Linked DNA regions of Oryctolagus cuniculus. The protein of the gene in region 2 binds, or shares a complex with, the protein of the main gene of each other region. Links are inferred from orthologs where the notes say so. Each region holds a gene or a part of one and is shown on either strand. Other genes may lie near its edges.

Region 1 (9,786 bases), on a different chromosome or scaffold from region 2:
AGATTTATTTATTTATTTGAAAGAGTGAAGGAGTCTTCCATCCTCTTGTTCACTGCCCAAATGGCCCTAAAGTCTAGAGCTGGGCCAGTACAAAGCCAGGAGTTTCTTCTGGGTCTGCCACTGGGTAGCAGGGGCTGCAGGGCTTGGGCCATCCTCTGCTGCTTTCCCAGGTGCGTTAGCAGGGAGCAAGATTGGAAGTGGAGCAGCCGGGACCTGAACTGGAATCTATACGGGATACAGGAATTGGCTTTACCCGCTATTCCACAACCCAGGCCCCTAATTTAAACTCTTAAATTTCAGATCTTGGGGCTAGCGCTGTGGCACTAGCATCCCAATATGGGTGCTGGTTCAAGTCCTGGCTGCTCCACTTTCAATCCAGCTCCCTGCTATTAGGCTTGGGAAAGCAGTGGAAGATGGCCCAAGTGCTTGGGCCCCTGCACCCACATGGGAGACCCAAAAGAAGCTCCTGGTTCCTGGCATTGGATCAACTCAGCTCTGGCCATTGGAGCCATTTGGAGAGTGAACCATTGGATGGAAGACCTCCCTCTTTCTCTCTTTCTATAACTGTCTTTCAAATAAATAAAAATAAAACTTAAAAAAAAAGTTCAGATCTTATTTTCTCCCTCAGGCTACTCATTTGGCGTACACCATATACATACTGCTTTGTATTATAAACCCCTGAATAACTTTTCACCCTACAGATAGAAACTCCTGACAGTAAGAACTGTCTTACACATGGAAATGTGTACCTTAAATAATAATTGAGTGAAATGCGAGCCGTAATTTATTAACTGTTGCATGGTTGTATATTTGAATGTGCCAAGTACTTTATTTTTAGCCACAATTTCACCAAAATGCTGAAAGGTTGTAATGTATTTTATGAGGATCTCAGACTCTTATCTGCTAGGTGTGACCCTATCACTCTGACATCCTTTTGGCACCTGAGTCACCAGGCTGATCCTCCAGGTGACAAAAAGCACTCTAGAGCAGGTTGTGAACTTTTGTAATTTGTTTGTTGTCAATACATTTTGTAAGCAAATATATCCAGAAATTATCATGTTTAAATTTTGTGAGAATTGTAATGTCTTTAGAAAAATATAGATTTTTGCCTCATATGTTACTGCATAAGTCAGTTATACAGAGATTAAGTGATGCAAATGGATCTGATTTGGAGGATATCAATTTTCATATGTTTTTAAGAGGTGTAGGTGCTGGCTGTAATACTAAAGAAGTCATAGATAGATTGAGATTTCTTAAAGCTGAAATTGAAGATTTAGAACTGAAGGAAAGAGAACTTGATCAGCAGAAGTTGTGGCTGCAGCAAAGCATCAAAAATGTGATGGATGACTCCATTAATAATAGATATCCTTTTAAATAAACTAGTTACACATGTACATATAGCTATAGGGTATATATATATTTATAATATATCTTCCGATCTGAAACTCAGTTACTTTATTCTAGTGATTCTAAAGAGTTAAGTGTTGTAAATGAATATAACATTTCAATTTCATAATACTTTTAGTAATTTATAAGAATATTTTACCTATTTTTTTTTCATTAAGTCTCATGTTTCATTTGAGGGGAAAAAACGATTAATATACCTTCAGTCTACCCATTGGTATGATGCAATATGCTAACCAAAGAGTGTTTGGGGGGGGGTCTGTGATTGTTAGAAGTCATTGTTAAGTGCATGGGCATTTTTAAAGAATCATGTTGAATGTTCTGAAATAGTAAAAACAGCAACTTTCAAAGTTTGAAAAATCAGTTTTGGTTTTAAGAGGAAATACTATGGGTTCAGTGTCAATCACAGGTGCTTTTTGTCCATATTAGCCTAAAGATAGCTTCTCCTGGACTGCAGGAGACCACGGCTTGCATATGTATCACATTATATTAGGGAAAAACACTGATACTCCTTGGGTTTCTTCTAAACCATTCTGTTCTTTTAGATACTTGTAATTCTTTTGGTTTATGAATTCACTTTGACTTTTTTTTTTTAAGATTTATTTCTGGGTCTGGCACTGTGGTGTAGTGGATAAAGCTGCCACCTGCAGTGGCGGCATTCCATATGGGTGCCAGTTCGAGTCCCAGCTGTTCCACTTCCAATCTAGCTCTCTGCTGTGGCCTAGGAAAGCAGTAGAAGAGGGCCAAAGTCCCTGTGCCCTTGCACCCGCATGGGAGACCAGGAAGAAGCTCTTGGCTTCCTATTGGCCCAGCTCTCGCCATTGCGGCCATTTAGGGAGTGAACCAGTGGATGGAAGACTTCTCTCTTTCTCTCTCTGTAACTCTGCCTTTCAAATAAATAAATAAATCTGGCTGCAATGGCCAGAGTTGGGATGATCTGAAGCCAGGAGCCAGGAGCCTCTTCTGAGTATCCCATGTGAGTGAAGGGGCCTAAGTCCCTGGGCCATCCTCTGCTGGTTTCCTAGGCCATTAGCAGGGAGCTGGATCAGAAGTGGAGCAGCAGCAGTTTACTGCAGCCAGCGCCCATATGGGATGTTGGCATTGCAGGCTTAACCTGTTACTCCACAACGCCAGCCCCTTTCATTCTTATGGAGACTTTAACCACATTTTATCTTGTACCATTTCTCATGAATTTTTGACCAACATATACAATATTGTGTTTTTCATGTTGTCATGGATTTGGTAAGTTAGTTCCTAATCCCTTTTTTATGGCTCGAAGCTTCCTAACAGTTTGAGAACCATGTAGATTTTCAAGCTGTGGCCTGTAGTGCCCCAAGATTCAAAAACCCTGAACTAGCTGACTTAGACTGTGCTGCTCAGCGTTACAGGATTCTGGCCATTCCCAGTTCCCCAAATCTTAATGGTACACACAACACACACAGGGACCTTTAAAAAGTTCTTAGAAGGCCGGTGCCGCGGCTCACTAGGCTAATCCTCCGCCTTGCGGCGCCGGCACACCGGGTTCTAGTCCCGGTTGGGGCGCCGGATTCTGTCCCGGTTGCCCCTCTTCCAGGCCAGCTCTCTGCTGTAGCCAAGGAGTGCAGTGGAGGATGGCCCAGGTGCTTGGGCCCTGCACCCCATGGGAGACCAGGAAAAGCACCTGGCTCCTGGCTCCTGCCATCGGATCAGCGCGGTGCGCCGGCCGCAGTGCGCCGGCCGTGGCGGCCATTGGAGGGTGAACCAATGGCAAAGGAAGACCTTTCTCTCTGTCTGTCTCTCTCACTGTCCACTCTGCCTGTCAAAAAAAAATAAAAAAAATTAAAAAAAAATTTTAAAAAAGTTCTTAGAAATATGGAATTAAAAGGTGTTTATTTTGGCGCAAAAAAATAGAAATCCATACATAATTAATCATGTGCACTTTCCATGAATTTTTTGAAGATACCTTGTGTATGTTTTATGCACACACATACGCGTACACACACACACACTTAGTTTTCTGTATATTAGCGCATACACACACAGTTTTCTGTGTATTATGCTCTGAAATCTCATAACACCTTTCTGGCTGGGGAGAGCCTGCCCCCTGGGGTAGCCAATTCTTTGGAAGTATCAAAGGTCCAGCTAGCAGCAGGTCTTCGATACACAGCGTAACCATTCCAGAGCCATGCTCCTCTCTGTGCCCTTACACCCAGGAAGCAGTATTTCTCTGCCTTAATCAGCCCATGGCCAGATACCAGACAGAACCCATTCCTGAAGCTTAGAACCCACCAAAACCATTCAAATCAATCAGTTCTGAAGTGTTCACCCTACTCTGCCTTGTTTTCTTCCATGGAAACCCCAGTTGGGTTTTGGCTTAATGCTTTCCCTGACTCCTGTCTTCTGCCTTGTGCCCACTCTGGTGTCTTTCATGTGTGGCCTGCATCCCTTCTGTCTGCAGGACCAGTGAGTATTGTTTTCCTGAGCCTCTCCATAGCTGTACCACTCTGAGCATATTGTAAAACAACACAAAACAGTGACCCAAGAAGATGCTCAGTGTGGAAGGTCATTGCTGTCCACTCCTGCTGATGGCCTCTTTCTCCCCTGTCCATCACTTCTCTCCAGAAGCCCATGCCTCCATGAGGAATGCACTGTTTTCCCTCTCTCCCAAGGGTCTGAAGGTATCACGGCAATCAGAATGGCTTCTTTTCAGAGCAGAGGTTCAGTATTCCTCCTAGGGATCTTTGATTGCTTTTGCTTTTTGTTTTTTTAAACTGGGCATGTGTAGCCCCTTCATGCATTTGGCTATTTAGTTATTTTTGGCCTTCAGATATATTACCTTAATTTAAATGCATAGACCTTGATACAAATGCTATTCCTTAACTCCTATGACAGTACATTTTCCTATGTAACTCATGAAGACATCTGTAATTGCTTTAATGGTAAGTACTGTTAGACTTTTTCTCATGTTTCCTCTGATCAGCTTATTAAATATAGAGTGATTCAGATTCCACATACCCTCAGCCTCAGTCATTATTTTCAGGAGTTGTGGACATTTGTCTCACTCTGCAGTGCTGTGTATTGATAGCTACTCTTGTTTCTGTTTTTATCACAACAACTGCTTTGACAGCTTTCATTTCATCACCTGTATTGGTAGGCATAAATTGAGCTTGCGAGGGGAAGGTGGAGAGGCAGCAGAGAGGAAGAGAAATCAGAGCAGGATTCAGCAACAGCTTCACAGCCAGAATCAGTGGCCAGTCCTTAACCAGAGCACGCCTTTCAGGAGCACTATTTTTGCAACCATATACGCCAAGTGTGTTGGCCATAGTGCAATCCAAAACATAGGGAAAATTTAGGTGGCTGATTTTTATAACCATGAAAGTTCTTCCTAATCCTATTCCATCCCCTTCCTCATTTTTCTCCCCTTGAAGTGACAGTGTTCAGTATTAATTTTAAAAATGAGGGGGGTGGAATAAATTCTCGTAATTATAACACAAGTAAAATGAAAGCCTACACACATTTTTATTTAATAAAGCATACTTCTAGTAAAAGGACAGCCCTGTGTTTTAACCCCATAACCAAAAAAAAAAAAAGAAAAGAAAAAAAAAAATCCCGGCAAGAGCTCTTATCAAATGTAGTCTGGCTTTTCAGGTAAGACTGCTGGAAATATGTGTGAACTCACTGCTGTATTTTTCCACCGTGATTCCCAAGCTTTCTAAGAAAGTTGAAGGAAAGTTTTTTTAACCTGCAACCCAACAGATCTGTTATAGGCATGGGTTTCAAGAATAAATTCACCTACCCTCTAGATTTCAGGCTATCTCACCTAATCTCCAGTATCATAAATCATTTAAGTGGTTTAAATATTTCAAGTAAACATTATTATTTAATTGAGGCTAAACAGTTTAAAGAACCATAGCTTTTACAGGAGGTAAACTGAAAGCAAAATCAACTTGAGCTGTTTATGAATGAGAATAGTAGAACTAACATTGAGTATTTACTGTGTCCTAAGAGCTATTAAAATAAGTTATCTCCTTTAATCCTCAAAATGAGCCTGTGCAGTAAATCGTGTATCCCCCTTACAGAATTTAAAAGTTAAGGTCACCCAGCCTGGTTTTTAGACCCAAACATTCTGACTCCAGAGCCCATGTTCTTGGCACTGTATTCCATGATCAATAGCATTTACTATATATTTTATATTTGTGTTTTTGATTAGGTGATACACTTTTGGCCATTCAGGCACCTTCTGGTACGCAGCTGGAAGTACCTATTCCAGAAATGGTAGGATAATCCGTATCAATGGGAAAAATAGTTGGTCTCAAGAGATGCTTTCTTTAGCTCAATGTGAGCTATTTATTTATAAACAATTTTAAGTTACTGCACATTATTTGAAAGTTTTAATATCTGAATTTGTCTCCTGTACTTTGGTAGAATTATTGAAGTGAATAAATGTACTATTTGATGTTTTCTTTACAAGTTTTTGTTTTATTTTTATTTGAAAGGCAGTTACAGAGAAGGAAAAACATAGATCTTCCATCTGCTGGTTCACTCCCCACATGGCTTCAAATGCCAGGGCTGGGTCAGGCCAAAGGCAGAAGCCAGAAACTTCTTCCAGGTCTCCCACATGGGTGCAGGGGCTTAAGCACATGGGCCATCTGCTGCTGCTTTCCCAGATGCATTTGCTGGGAGTTGGATAGTAAGTGGAACAGCCAGGACTCCATATTGGTGTTGCAGGTGGTGGGTTAATGTGCTACACTACAACACTGGCCCCAAGTTTTTGTTTTTAATTTGACCTTATTAGGGCTAGAGGATATCAAGGGATGAGTAATGACGTTTACAATAATCTTTAAAAATCAATTAAAATGACTACATCTGTAACTGTTAAAAAAAAAATCCTGGGGCTGCAACTGTGGCGCTGTGATGTAGTAGGTAAAGCCACTGCCTGCAGTGTTGGCATCCCATATGGGCGCCGGTTTGTGTCCTAACTGCTCTGCTTCCAATCCAGCTCTCTGCTATGGCCTGGGAAAGCAGTAGAAGATGACCCAAGTCCGTGGGCCCCTGCACCTGTGTGGGAGACCCAGAAGAAGCTCCTGACTCCTGGTTTTGTATCGGCCCAGCTCAGGCCATTGCAGCCATCTGGAGAGTAAACCAGTGGTTGGAAGACTTCTCTCTCTCTCTGCCTCTGCCTCTGCCTCTCTGTAACTCTGCCTTTCAAATAAATAAAAAAATCTTTAAAAAAAAAAAATCCTACAGGAAGAGGTTCAACTTAAATATCAACAAGTAATTGCTTTAAATTAGGTCTTTTAAAAAATGTTTTCTGGGTTATTGAGTTAAAGACCTTTACTAATTCTGTGCTATATATGTCATAATTTTAGTGTTTAGGTTTGTAGTTCCCAAAACTGAGTTTAAAGCTCTACCAACCAAAAAAAAAAAAAAAAAAAAAGGAAAAAGATAACTGTATCATCTGACCTCTCACCCATCCTATTGGTTTGTATTTAGGCATTATTATTTATATCACTAAATTCTAAAGCCCCAGGACACAAATTACTTTTCTTGAAATGGAAGGGTTTTATCCTTACATCTCTGTAGAAAAAGTCAGTTGTCTTTGTACTTGCCGAATGGAAATGAGTTTTGATTTGTGAAGTAGCTATAAATTAAGACAGCATGTTGAGATGAACACACTCACCATGGGCAAGTCCAGGGATGGAAGTTCATGTACAAAGAATACTTGCAGTGCGCCATGAGCACACACAAAGCAGATAGTTGCCAGGATTCTACAGCTGAAAGTTTTTATAATTAGAATTTGAGGCAAGCTTACTATTTATGGGCAAATGTTTTAGAATACTGTAGACCCTACAGTATTCCACTCTGCTCTTGGTCTCTACACTTGTATTTTGACTTAATGACTTTGTCGTGTGAATTTAGTCTTTAATAAAGCTTTGCCTATCTTGTTTTTCATGTTTCAAGGTAGCTAGAAATGTTAATAATTATTCTTGTTTATACCCAATAATTTCAAAGGGTCAGAATGGACAAAAGAAATACCAGATCAATCTAAAGAGTCATTCAGGACCTATTCACGTGCTGCTTATAAATAAAGAATCCAATTCATCTAAGCCCGTGGTGTTTCCCATTCCCCCACCTGATGACCTCACACAGCCTTCTTCCCAGTCCTCCACTCCAGTGACCCCACAGAAATCCACCGTGGCAGCTCAGCACCCGCCTGAGCAACCTGCCTCTGAAAGAAGCCAGAGTCTCCAGCAGACACCAGCTACAGACATAGCCTCAGGTAGGTTCAGGTCCTTTGTTTAAAAGATTAGAGGGGAAAATATATGAATCCTGTGTGAAGGGAGTTGGAAAGCTTTCCTGAACTTGTCATTGGTGATACTATCCAGTTACCTAATACAGGAGGCAAAATAGTACAATGTTTTTTCAACAGTATTACTCTAGTGTCTATAGCACTGGGATAGATATGAGGAAGATTTTAAGAGATCCTATCTACAATCCTGTAGATTTGTATTTGTGAGAGGAGGTTCCAAAAGTTCATGGAAAATGCATCTTTTTGGTTCATTATCACGAACTTTTTGAGGCTGCCCCATATGTGTGTATGTGTATTTGTGAAATACACAAATCAGAAATAACCAGATACAAGGTAACGTGGCTGAGACTGTGTGTTAAACAGTGAATACTTAGCAAGGGAAAGATGTTTATGGGCCAAAGGTGGCTGTTTTCCTTAGGATTCTATTTCTTGGTTAGCTAAGTCAAATTTGTTGCCTTTTCTTTCTTATTCACATGTTAGCTTTTATCTGAGGTTCACCTTTCTAAGGCTTTTTTATTTCGTAATAAGTATAGGATAAATGATTGAAACGTGTTGTTGTAACTGCCCTTACAAAAAAGTATAGAATTCATGCCTCTTTCCCTACCTTGTTATATTTTGTTGAGAAACTTAGTTTATGAGTGGATAAATGGTCCCAACTCCAATTATTTAGGATATCTTGCTTTCCTATATTATTTCCATCTATGAAATGACAAATAATCAAAACACTAAAAATTGGGCATGCGGAGTAGGTACCACAATTCTTGAATTTATAAATGTTTCATTGGCACACAATTATTTCTCCTGGTTCCAACGGTTGGCATTTAGCAACTCCTTACTGATTCCAAACAAAGGGAGCATGGTACAGAGTCTTTCGACTGCTGAGTGAATGAATGAATGAATGAATGATGGTGTTAATAAAGATGACACACTGCAGATCATTAACAACTGTATAGTACATATTCCAAATTCTTTTTAAGATTTACTTATTCATTCATTTGAAAGGCAGGGTTATAGAGAGGCAGAGGCAGACACAGAGAGTCTTCCATCTGCTGGTTCACTCCCCAGTTTGCCACAGTGGCTGGAGCTGTGCCGATCCAAAGCCAGGAGCCAGGAGCTTCTTCCTGGTCTCATACCCAGGTGCAGGGGCCCAAGAACTTGGGTCATCTTCTACTGATTTCTCAGGCCATAGCAGAGAGCTGGTTCGGAAGTGGAGCAGCCGGGACTCAAACCGGTACCCTTATGGGATGCAGGCACTGCCGATGGCAGCTTTACCTGCTACACCACATGCTGGCCCCCAAATTCTTTATCTTTACCTATGGAATGTATTTCATTGCTGCTACTCTGGGAGTTCACGGTAGTTAAAAATGAAGCTGAAAAGATTTAACTGGACATGGATCTTTGTTGCCCATACCCTTCCCTTCTTTCCTTTCCCTAGGAATATTTCCATGCTGTAGGCAGAGGGGTACACAACAGAAAGTTCAGTCCTTAAAAAGCTCATGCTAATTAACAAATTTTATTTCCCAGAACTCAACATCTAGGAGTAACTGGCCATGCAGGGGACCGAAAGGACTCCAGCTCACAAGGCAAATTTGTTAGAGGAGACAGGCAGAGAGACTTCCAGACCCAAGACAGGCAGGGCCTGCACCACGCCCCTCATAAGCAGGAAGCAGCTATAGAAGACGTGATGATTCTGCTCCCTCCATCACCCCTTAGGATTAAGGGAATGGAGTCTGAAAGGGGAATGTTCTAGGCAGGTGTATAGGATCAGATTTGTGAGCCGGAAGATGCCTTCACCACGTCCCCGCGCCCTCTACAATTTCATGACCCTGCCTGACCACACCTGTTCACCCACCTGCCAGTCAGAAAAGCCTGAAACATGGTGGGCCCGGCCATTTTTCCCTTTGCTCTTTTTCCTCCCTGCCTTAATCCCCGTGCTAGGTACCCTTCAGTTTAACTCAAAGCTTACTGTGGGTTGCAGCATGTTGCTGTGCCATGCTAAGCAGGGTCATACTCACCTAAAACAGAAGAGGGATTAGGGCAACCCCAGCAGTTAGCCTGAGCCCAAGCACATTTCTCCCCATCCATGCCTTCTG
Region 2 (10,320 bases):
AAGACATGCAGAGACTCAAAGAGAGAGGAAGGGGAGACTGCACACAGAGTGACTGAAAACGCAAGAGCAGCCATGCTGATCTCACAGAACGTTCTGGAAGTCGAACACTGCCACGGGGCAGGTGCCGGGGTTCACGTTCCAGCTCCATTCCCACTTCCAGCTTCCTGCTGACGTGCACCCTGGGAGCACCGATGGTCCCGGTAGCTGGGTCCCCGCCCCTCATGCGGCTCCCAGCTTTGGCCCAGCCCTGGCTGCTAGGGGCATTTGAGGAACAAACCAGCAGATGGGGGGGGGTGTCTGTCTGACTCTGTCTCTCTGCCTTTTAAGTAACGTTAGAAACTGTCACAAGAGACAAGGATATTAGATGAGTCAGGTCAGGGGTCGGCACGTGGGACGCCTGCACTCCATGTCCGAGTGCCTTGTTCAAGTCCCAGCCCCTCCACTTCCGCCCAGCCCCCTGCTGATGTGCATCCCGGGAGCAGCCACTGGGGTCACGTCCTTGCATCGCAGCCAGTCATGTGGCAGATACAGATTGAGCTCTGGTCTCCTGGCTTTGGCCTGGGCTCAACCGTGGCTGTCTGGGGGAAACAGAGGAATGGAAGATTTCTTTCTCTCTACATTTCAAATAAAATGAAAATAAATAAATTTTAAAAATTTCTAGAAGGGGTCAATTCACCACGAAGACTTAAGAATTATAAATATGGAGCTGGTGTTGTGGCACAGCAGGTAAAGCCACTGCCTGTGACGCCAGCATCCCATGTGGGTGCTGGTTTGAGTCCTGGCTGTTCTACTTATGATCCAGCTCCCTGCTAATGGCCTGGGGAAGCAGCAACAGAAGACCCATGTGCTTGGGCCCCTGCACCCACGTGGGAGACCTGGAAGAAGCTCCTGGCTGCTGGCCTAGTCCTGGCTGTTGCAGCTGTCCAGGGAGTAAACCATAGGATGGAAGATCTCGATTCTCTCTGTCTCTCTGTGGCTCTCGTCAATAAATAAATAAATCTTTAAAAGGATTCATGTCTGTACCACCAAGCACCAGGGCTTCCGTGTACAGTGCAAACATGGACAGTGGGAGGCAGCGAGGTCAGCTCTGTGACAGGAGGAGCAATCAGCAGACCCGTGAGGACGAGAAGGGAGCCCAGGACGCACTCAGCACCCACGAGGAGCCCTTGGAGTCTGCTGTGCCCTAAACTTCCTAGGAAACCTGGGACTGCAGCAAAGAGAAACTGACTGTAAGTGGGCAGCGGATAACCCACAGGCATGTACTCCCAGGGTTCCGGGAGGTTCTGGCAGGTGTCCATGTGGGACTCGCTGGCTGTTTGTGGACAGTGTTCTTCTGCTGGGCTGTCTGTGGTGGAAAGGGCAAAGGCGAATCTGGCTTCTGACAAAGACCCCAGTCCCATTTCAGCTCCATCCTGAGACCCAGTCACCACAGTGACCCCGCCCACTAACACGGCTCTTGTGGGGTCAGCGTGGAACATTGGGGACACTCATGTGCACCCCACTGTGGCTAGTGGAGTTCGTTTCCTGAGCTGGGGACTGCGGGGCCGGGGACAGCTGGCCCAAGGCAGTCATGAGTTCATGAGCCAGGAGCAGCCAGGCCGAGAGGCCTCAGGATTAGCCGATGGCCTGGTTCCACTCATGAGAGTCACCCTCGTCAATGTTCCCACCGTTACCTTCGTGTTCTCGTCATGGACGGGCAAACCCAGGTCTGGAGGAAATCCACTCTGTATCAGAGGAGAGCATTGTTTTAAATCTGAGAGGCAAAGGCGGGGGTGGGGCGGCCACCCACTCGGCCAGTCCCGAATATCCACAGGGACCGGGGCTGAACCCGTTTCCCACGTGGGTGGCAGGGCCGATGCCTTAGCAGGAAGCTGCCTGCCGTCGGGATCTGAACCCAGCACTCTGGCGTGGGTCGGGGGCTTCCTAACTGGTGAGGTAACTGGAGGGGAGGGTCGAGCAGCTCGCCCTGAGTGGCGCGGTAGGTGGGTTTGTGTGAGGAGCTGGACTTGAGTGAAATCACGTGGGTCCCACTGCCCATCTTCCCTCCCAGACGCGCGCGTCCCTCACCGTGGCTGCGCCTGCCTCTCCCAGGAGCTGCCAGGCCATCTTCCTTCCCCGCCCCCACAGGGCACTCCCACCTCCTCTCTGCTTTCCTGGAGCCCAGGCCCTGGCCTCTGCCCCACCTGCTGACTGCCTCACTGCTAACCCACTTAGCCACTCCCTTCCTCTTCAGCCAGGGGCCCAGCAGAGGGGGCCGAGGGCCTGCAGGAAGCCAGCACCGCCCCAGGCCCAGGAGGCTGCACACCTGAGGGCTGTGCATGGAGACCAGGCCGGAAGAGGGCAGGGCGGCCTTCCCCACCCCCTTCTCCCGTCCTCTGACCTCCCCGTCGTCTGACCCCAAGTGGCCAGCATCCCCTGAGGGTGCTGTCCCCGGAGGTCGGGCCCCCGTGGAGGGAGGGCAGAGCCAGAGAGAAGGGAGGGGTGGGGTCCTCAGCACCTCCTCGGGCACAGCATGGGTCCGCCTGGAGCTTTCTCCCGTGGGCGCCAGGCCCAGGTGCTCCCCCGTGACAGGTGCTCGGAGCTCGTCCTGCACACCAGGAGCTCCCTGTCCACCACGCCTGCTGCCTCCCGTCCTCAGCATGGCCTCATGCACCCTCAGCGCACCAGTGAAGTGAGCCAGCACCTCTGGCTCGGGAAACTGCTCTGCTCCCTGCTGGCGTGACAGGAATCACCTCTCCGGTGGAAGCCCCAGGGCCCAAGCGAGGGCACTGGAGGGTGCTGGGCCGATTGGAGGCTCCAGCTGGGCCTAGCGTCCACAGTGCTGGCGGCCCTGGCAGGGGTGGCCTGTGTCACTCCCAGCCGGCACCTCACCCAGCCCTGCTGCAGTGGGCACTCTCCAGTGTGCCCAGGCCCGCGCCTTCTGGCCCACGTCCTCGCTCGCTCACTCTCTCAGGAGCCGGGAGCCCTGCAGGGCAGGCAGACCCGAGAGCGTGTGGGAGAGGAGCGCCTGTCACTTTCGTCTGGTAAAACGCAGAGCCCAGCATTTCTGAGCCGTGGCCGGCACCCTCAGCCGGCATGGTGCCCGTGTGCACCCAGGGCTGGACACCAGCCCCTGGGATGGGATGGCTCAACAGCGACTACGGCTCTCGCCGAGACCAGGCCTCCTGCACGGCCAGGCTCAGAGACGCAGTGTGCCCAGGGGTCAGCTCACCGCAGGGCGTGGGGTCGGCCTGCTCAAGGCTGCATCCCGGGCCCTGTAAGACATCTGCACCCGCCACCCAGAATGAGGGAGCTGCCGCCGACTGTTAGCGAGAGGCAGGCTCCCTGGCGGCTGGGTGTCCTCGAGGAGCTGCCGCTGCTGTGGGGCCCCTGGAGTCCAGCGTGGGTCACCCCGGCCTGTGGGCTCGGGAAGCTTGCTGTCCAGGCCGCTCCACGAGGCTGGGAGGGGGCTCGCTGCTGCTGAGAGTCCCTAACCCGAGTTTAGGGAAAAATAAGATCCTACAAAAGGAAGAGCGAGGGAAAGGAAGAGCGAGGAACACGCACGGCTTTTGAGGACAGAATGCAGGAGACACACTTGCAAATCGGGACTGGCGGGCGGCGGCGCGATCCCACTGCACGGAACACAGGCTTTCCCGGGACAGGAGGATTTTAGGGTTTTGATCTTAGAGGCGGGGGGACGGAGGGAGAGCGGGAGGGACTGCCCCACCCCTGGCTCACTCCCAGATGCCCACGTGGCTGTGCACCAGCCTAGCAGGGCACTCACGTGGGTGGTGGGCACCCAGCTCCTGGGCTCTCAGCACTGCCGCCCACGACTGGAGTCAGGAGCTGTCTTATTCTACTTATCTCTTTGAAAGGCAGAGGGAGAAGGAGTGTGCGAGACAGAGATCTTCAGTCTGCCCACAACAGCCAGGGCTGGGCCAGGCAGAAGCCAGGAACCAAGAACTCCATCCAGGTCCCCCATGTGGTGGCAGAGACCCAGGTACTTGAGCCATCACCTGCTGCCTCCAAGGGTGCAGATTAGGGGTCAGAGGCAGAGCTGGGCCTTGAAGCCCTGTGGGGTTCAGGTGACATGATCAGTGTCCTCATCCCTGGGCCAAACACCGCTCCCCCCAGCCCCATCAACCTTCTCTAAGGACCTACTGTGTGCTAACCAGACAGGAAGGTTTCTGCCACAAAGAAACCGAACTGCTGGCACAGAGGACAGGCTGCCAGGGTGGGGCTCTCCTGGGCAGGAGTGGGTGCAGTGGGTGTGGATGGGGTGGGACTTGGAGGTGTGCAGAGGGGTGCAGGGTGGGAGAGCCCTTGTTATGGCTGTGTGGGACTCCGTGCAGCCTGGGCTCGGGACCGGCCTCCACAGCCTGCCGCCAGCCCTAGGTGACAGCTGTGTCTGCAGGGCAGGGCCCAGTTCCACTCTCCGTGGAAAGGCTGCCTGCCCTGGCGCCCAGGAGGTGTGGAGTCGCTGGGACTCTGTGAGGAAGCCGCCGGGATGCGGAGCAGGGCTGGAGACCTCCCCTCCCCTCCCCTCCCTGCCCAGACACCTGCGCCAGCTCAGCGCCTGCCTCCACCCCTGCATCCATGCAAACCAACGCGCCCAGGACCCTGGTCTGTGCGGCACCCTCGCGCTTGGCTTGCCTCCATCTGCTACTCCTCCACGTGCACACTTGCACCTGACCCCTTCTCCTCCCTGTGCACACGCACTGGTGTACACAGCAGCCCCAGCCCCATGCACACAGGCGAGCACACAACTGGCCCCCTTTTCCATGCACACAGCAAGTGCTCTTGGCCTCCTGCCCTGCAGGTGCCTCCTCTCCACCCCCTACACCCATGTCTCGCCTCCAGCTCTGCCCCCCACCCCGGCCCCCTTGCAGCTCTGTGTGCGCACACACAGCTTGGGTCTCCTCCCACAGTCTCGCTCCGTGCATACACACACACACACACACACACACACACACACTCATGCGCGCACACACGTGGCCCCTCTGACCCGCGCGCGCATCCCTAGCGCCGGCTGGCTCCATCCCGTCCGGCGCACGCGCAGGCTCGAACACGCGCGCACGGCCCTCCCCTCCCCCAGGGCGGCAGCGCCGGCGGGAGGAGCGGGAGCAGGAGGGGCGGAGGAGGAGGAGGGCGCCGAGGAGGAGGAGGGCTCCGAAGGCGCGAAAATGCGCGCAGGCGCGCTGCGCGGAGCGGGCCCGCCGCCGCCCACGTCACCGCGCCGCGCGCACGTCACGCCGGCCCGACGCTCGGCCAGGGTGAGCCCCGCGTCCCGGCGCCGCTGGCCCAGGGCAGGGACCCCGCCAGGGCCGGGAGCGCCGCCCGGCCCCCGCCGCCCGCCCGCGCCCCGCGGCCGTGTCCCCGCGCGGCCCGCGCCCCAGACTGCGCGGCCATACCGGGCGAGCCAGGTGCGGGCGGCGGAGGATGCGGTGGGAGCCGGCGCGACGGGGCCGGGCGAGCGCGGGGCGCGGGCCACGCGGGGCGCGGGCGGGCGGCGGCCCCCGAGCTGCGTCCCCGCCGCGTGCGGGCGCCGCGCGGCCCCGGCCCTCCCGCGCCCTCCGGGCCCCGCGCGCTCCTGGGCGCCGGGGCCCCGCGCCAGGCGCCCTTGCTGCGGGCGGGGGCTCCCAGGTGACCGGGCGGGGCGGGCGGGGGTACGGGGCCTGGCCTCCGGGGCCGATGGCCGCGCCCGCGCCTTGGGGGTCGGGGTCGGGGTCGGGGCCGGGCCGCGCGGGGCGGGGCGGGAGGCGCCGCGGGGCTGGAGTGCGCGCGGTGGCTGCGGCCTAGTGACAGATCGCAGCGGGCGGGGACCCGAGAGCCCACCTGTCAGAGTTACCGGTCGGCGGCCGAGCAGCCCGGCGCGCAGCCCCTGGAGGGTCCGGGGGAAGACCTGGGAACTTGCACGTTTGGGCTGTGCCCTGTTGGGTGGTCGTGTGCGCCTAAGTGGGGGACCCAAGCCCACCCTGCGGAGGCGGGCAGCGCGCCCCGGGCTCACCGCGGTCTCGCCTCCGGACCGGCCATTTGGGGTGCGCGGGGCGGGGGGGTTCCGGGCTGCTCGCGGGGTCTGAGGGTGGCGAGCGCTGCGAGAGCCTTGCGTCCAGGCTCTAGCGAGAAATCTCAGCCGCCAGGCCCTCGTGCAGGCGGGGGAGACGTCTCCTTTAAAGTGGGACATCTTGTAAACTTAGTTTTTCATCCTTGCTCATTTTTCTTTTTTCTCTCTCTTTTTTTTTTTTTTAACCAGAAAAGTCTTTTCTTCCTTGGAGAGTGAATGTTGATAGCATTGGTTTCCTGGACCTGGTAACATGGCAAAAGATGTGAGTACCTTTGCTTAATGCTCAAACACCTGTGCCTGGCACCAGCCCCTCCTGTTTGTGCCTTTGTCAGAGGGGCAAAACCTGAGTTATTAGTATTTCCTGGCTTTTTAAGAGAGGTTGGTTTGTTTATTTGGAAGGGTGAGAGACAGAGGGAGAGCTTCCATTAGCCGGTTCACTCCCCAGATGGCCATATGGCCACATAGCCACATCTGGGTCGGGCCAAAGCCAACAGTTTCATCTGGGTCTCCCAGCCTGATGACAGAGGCCCAGGCAGTTGGGCCATCTTCTGCCCTCCCAGGCGCATTAGCAGGAAGCTGGAGCAGAAGCAGAGCAGCCGGGACTTGAACTGGTGCTCCTATGGGATGCTGGCATTGCAGGTGCCCACTGAACCCTCTGCGTGCCACAATACCATCCCCTTCTCGGTAACTTTTTAAAGTTGGGTGGAGAAATAGGCTCTTAGGTCCAAGAATGAACTGAGTTTCCCATCATGCCGTCAGATTCCCTGAAACGCGGGGTCTTTGCACACTGGTGCAGACGGGCTGCGTGCTCGTCTCCTGCATAGAGCTGGAAGCAGGCTGGTCCTGCTGCCTCTGTGCGCGACTGCAGGTTGGGTGGCTTTGGAGCGCCTTCTGTCAGCTCAGATTTCCCGAACTTCCTGAGCCGCGTCCTCTGTCTGTGCCGGTCAGGGGCTCCCTGTCCTCGGATGCAGGCCTGCGCAGGGAGGCGCGCAGCCCTCCGGGCGCTGTGTGCAGGGTTTTGGTTTGATGTTCATTTTAAAACTGCTGTCATTTGGTTGGTGCCATCACTCCTGGAGGTGCCAACATGTGGCAGGTGCCCCGAAGCAGCTGGACTCCCACAGTTGCCCAGAAAGGGTGGTGCCAGACCCATGCCCAGCCGCATGCTTCTGGTTTCTGGACCAGTTTGCTCTCGTCTCTTTAAATGCTTAGATACTCACTGATGTCATCTTCGAAGCCCTTTGTGGTTCCACGTTGGTGTGGCTGGCACCGTCTGTGTGGCACGGAGAGAGGCGTGGGAGGGAAGGACAGACAGGTGCTGGAGGAGGGGGACCCCGCCACCCCAGCAAGGTCGCCGGGCCAGGGCACGGGCTGTGCTGGCCCCCTAGCTGGTCATCGTTGCATTTGAAGGACTCGGAGTGTGTGCTGTTGGGAGGTGGCAGGGTCTCACGGGCTGAGGAGTGGCTGTGGGGCAGACTGGCAAGGTGGCCTCCGTGTTCTACAGACAAGGGCTGTGCTGGTCCCGTGGCTGGTGACGCTGCTTTCTTGTCATCCACGTGCTCTTAGGCGGTGGCAGGGTCTCACGGGCTGAGATGCAGCTGGCAGGGCAGAATGGCAGGGTGGCCTCCGTGTTCTGCAGACAAGAAGTCAGGGTGTCGGGGACAAGCTGGAAATGGAGGCTGTGGGCAGGTGATGCTGGAGGGTGGATGGGCGACCAGCAAGGGTGAGGGCCCGTGGGGGGCCAGTGGCTGTGTTGTGCACAGGTTGCCTGATGAGGTTGTTGCAGAGTGGGCCCTCTGGTGTGAATTGAGGGGCCCAGAGCCCGCTGGGGGCCCCTAAGCTAGTTTTTGGTGCCCCCTGCTCATCTCATGCGGTGATTTCTGCGGTCATGAGCAGCTTCTGATCGCACAGGCCTCTGTGTGGCCTCTGGGGTGTGTGTGAGGAACGATGGTCTCTGTTCGTCCTCGTCATCCTGTGAGCCCTTTCTGGGCCCGTGGGCCGGGAGGGTGCGTGCTGGCCACAGCCTGTGGTGGCTGCTCCGGGGTGACGGGTACATCAGGGCCGACAGGAAGGAGATGCACTTGGCACCTGCAGGGCTGCCTGAGGGGCTGGCACAGGACTGGGCAGATGGCACTCGACCTGTCTCTTCTCTCGTGGGTATGCATCTTGTGCCCTCTTTTCTGGTTCTTAAATACAAATACGTGCCTATGTGAAAGGAATCTGGTGAAAACCTTGCCGTTGTCTTGTAATAAACACGGAGCTCTGTGACTCCCAGCCGTGTCTGCACACAGCCCTGTGTGTGACGGTTGCAGGTACCCGCATCAGGGTACTTCTCTTGTGAGCTGTCTGTGTGCCCCTCACCCAGGTGCAGTTAAGCAGGCCGCTCCCTGGGCTGTCGCGTTGTGGAGCGATTCCGGTGCTTGGAGATCCTTGTGGCTCTGAGAATGCAAGGGAAATGGGTGCGGGGGTGCAGGGAGGGGAGGGAGGGTGTCAGGGACGCGTCCCTTCCTGTGAGGCGCCGTGTCTGTGCTGGGCCCTGCCTCCCTGGGTTTTGCCTCTGACATTCATTTATGGAGTAGCACTGACACATGTCCCAGGGAGGTGCCCTGTGTGGAGGGGGACTTGGAAGAGAGACACAGCAGCCCCCACAGTGAAGTGACGGAGACCCGAGTCTCATTTCGCCCCAGAAATTGAACAGGAGGGAGTCGCCTTCTGCTATGGGCATTTGGGGCAGGAATTTCCATGTTAGGGGAACCGTTCATTCCCAAGCCTGCGTAGTGACAGCAGGGGCCTGGGTCAGCCCTTCCTTTCCTCTGTGTTCACGCTGGGGGTCCACGCGGCCTGAGCAAGTTCCCAAGCTGTCACCCTAAAGGGTCTGCCCAGCTGCTCACCAGGGGGGCAGCAGGTGCTTGGACCGTTCCCCAGAGCACACTGCAGAGGGGCTGGGAGCAGCGGAGGCACCTGGCCCGGGAGGGGCCTTGGGTGGGGCCGTGGCAGGGAAAGGTGAGGGCTCTCTCTGGAGGTCACAGCCCATGCTTCCTGCCCCCGGAGGAGTGAGCCCTTGGAGGGGCCAGGCATGGGCCTCCCTCCCTGCTGCCCCTCTGGCGAGGCTGTGTTCTCAGCACTCGGCTGGCCTCAGGAAAGTCTGCAGGTGGAGAGGGAGGATACACGTGAATGTGCATTGTGGGGCTGTGTCAGGGTGCTGCCCCACCCCTCAGCCTGTGTGTGCCCCAACAAAGCCATGCTGTGCGCTGAGAGCCATCTGTCCAGCGGTCTGCAGGCTCTGCGGGTTTGGAGTCCTCTGCGGGTGGGAAGAGTTCGGAAGACATTGTATCAGAACTGAACAGGTACAGGTTTCCCCATTGTTACTTCCTAAACAATACAATATGAGGAGCGCCCTCCCAGGGCGTTTACATTGTATTAGATTCTCTGTACCTGGAGGGCCTGTGGGCGCCTTTGCAAGTTCTCCACAGCTCTTACAGCCGGGACTTGGGCATTGTGGGTTTTGAGCTCCACTGGGGCCCTGGAACCAACCCCGGTGGATGCTGGGGGATGATGCTGGCCCAGGGCAGAGCCGGACTATGTGGGTCCCTCTCAGCACCCGTGTCTCATTTCTGGAGGCCGCTTTGTGATGCCGGTTTCCGCCCCGGGAGTTTACGGGACAATCCCTCCATAGTGATGTTGGAAGCTGGAGACCCGAGAGACGCAGCCGGGTTCTCTGCTGAGGCCTGGGTCCCTGCCTGCGACTGCTGGGGAGCAGGGACCGCCCCCTTCAGGCTTGGAGGAGGTGAGTTCCGGAGACAAATGCCAATTCATGATCCCAGCCTTAGAGGAGAGGGCTTTGTGTGTGAGGTGCGGGGCAGTGAGGTCAGCTGCTGGGCTCAGCGTGGGAGAAGTCTCCCAGGGCGCTTGTTCTTAGACAGCTTTTCATGTTGCAGAATTCGTGTTTTCTTTTTCTTTATTTTTGTAAAAAAGATTTATTTATTTATTTGAATGGCAGAGTTTACAGAGAGAGAGAGAAAGGTCTTCCATCTGCTGGTTCAAGCCCCAATTGGCTGCAATGGCCAGAGCTGGGCCAGTCCAAAGCCAGGAGCGAGGAGCTCTTGTGTGGGTCTCCCACATGGGTGCAGGAGCCCAAATATATGGGTCATCTTCCACTGCTGTCCGGCCATTAGCAGGGAGCTGGATGGGCCGAGACAGGAACCTGCGCCCATGCAGGATGCTGGTGTCTCGGGCAGTGGCTTTACTCACTGCACCACATCACTGGCTCCTGAATTGAG

The links.
Region 1: the proteins of TFDP1 (region 2) and E2F5 are in contact, whole or in part, in a crystal structure (PDB 5TUV), measured with the Homo sapiens proteins. The link is inferred for Oryctolagus cuniculus from reciprocal best matches to the Homo sapiens genes TFDP1 and E2F5. Residues at the interface, in NP_009042.1 of Homo sapiens: Glu201, Cys202, Leu205, Glu208, Arg209, Arg212, Leu213, Arg215, Ile216, Lys219, Gln220, Leu223, Leu226, Ile227, Gln230, Phe233, Leu236, Val237, Arg239, Asn240, Arg241, Arg249, Pro253, Ser255, Val256, Ile257, His258, Leu259, Pro260, Phe261; in NP_001942.2 of Homo sapiens: Val126, Arg129, Leu130, Lys134, Glu136, Ile137, Leu140, Glu141, Glu144, Leu147, Asp148, Gln150, Lys151, Leu154, Gln155, Ser157, Ile158, Val161, Met162, Ile166, Asn167, Asn168, Arg169, Phe170, Ser171, Tyr172, Val173, Thr174, His175, Asp177.

The regions. Positions count from the first base shown.
Region 1 is NC_091437.1:110,691,044-110,700,829, forward strand, and holds part of E2F5 (transcription factor E2F5), read left to right. Parts: exon of another isoform or gene 1-170; intron 171-379; exon of another isoform or gene 380-1,081; coding exon of another isoform or gene 1,082-1,200; coding exon 1,201-1,362; intron 1,363-4,278; coding exon 4,279-4,322; intron 4,323-5,593; coding exon 5,594-5,658; intron 5,659-7,395; coding exon 7,396-7,663; intron 7,664-9,786.
Region 2 is NC_091440.1:498,317-508,636, reverse strand, and holds the start of TFDP1 (transcription factor Dp-1), read left to right. Parts: upstream 1-5,170; 5' UTR 5,171-5,252; intron 5,253-5,263; exon of another isoform or gene 5,264-5,402; intron 5,403-5,598; exon of another isoform or gene 5,599-5,622; intron 5,623-5,995; exon of another isoform or gene 5,996-6,017; intron 6,018-6,232; 5' UTR 6,233-6,293; coding exon 6,294-6,305; intron 6,306-10,320. UniProt on the Homo sapiens protein: Can stimulate E2F-dependent transcription.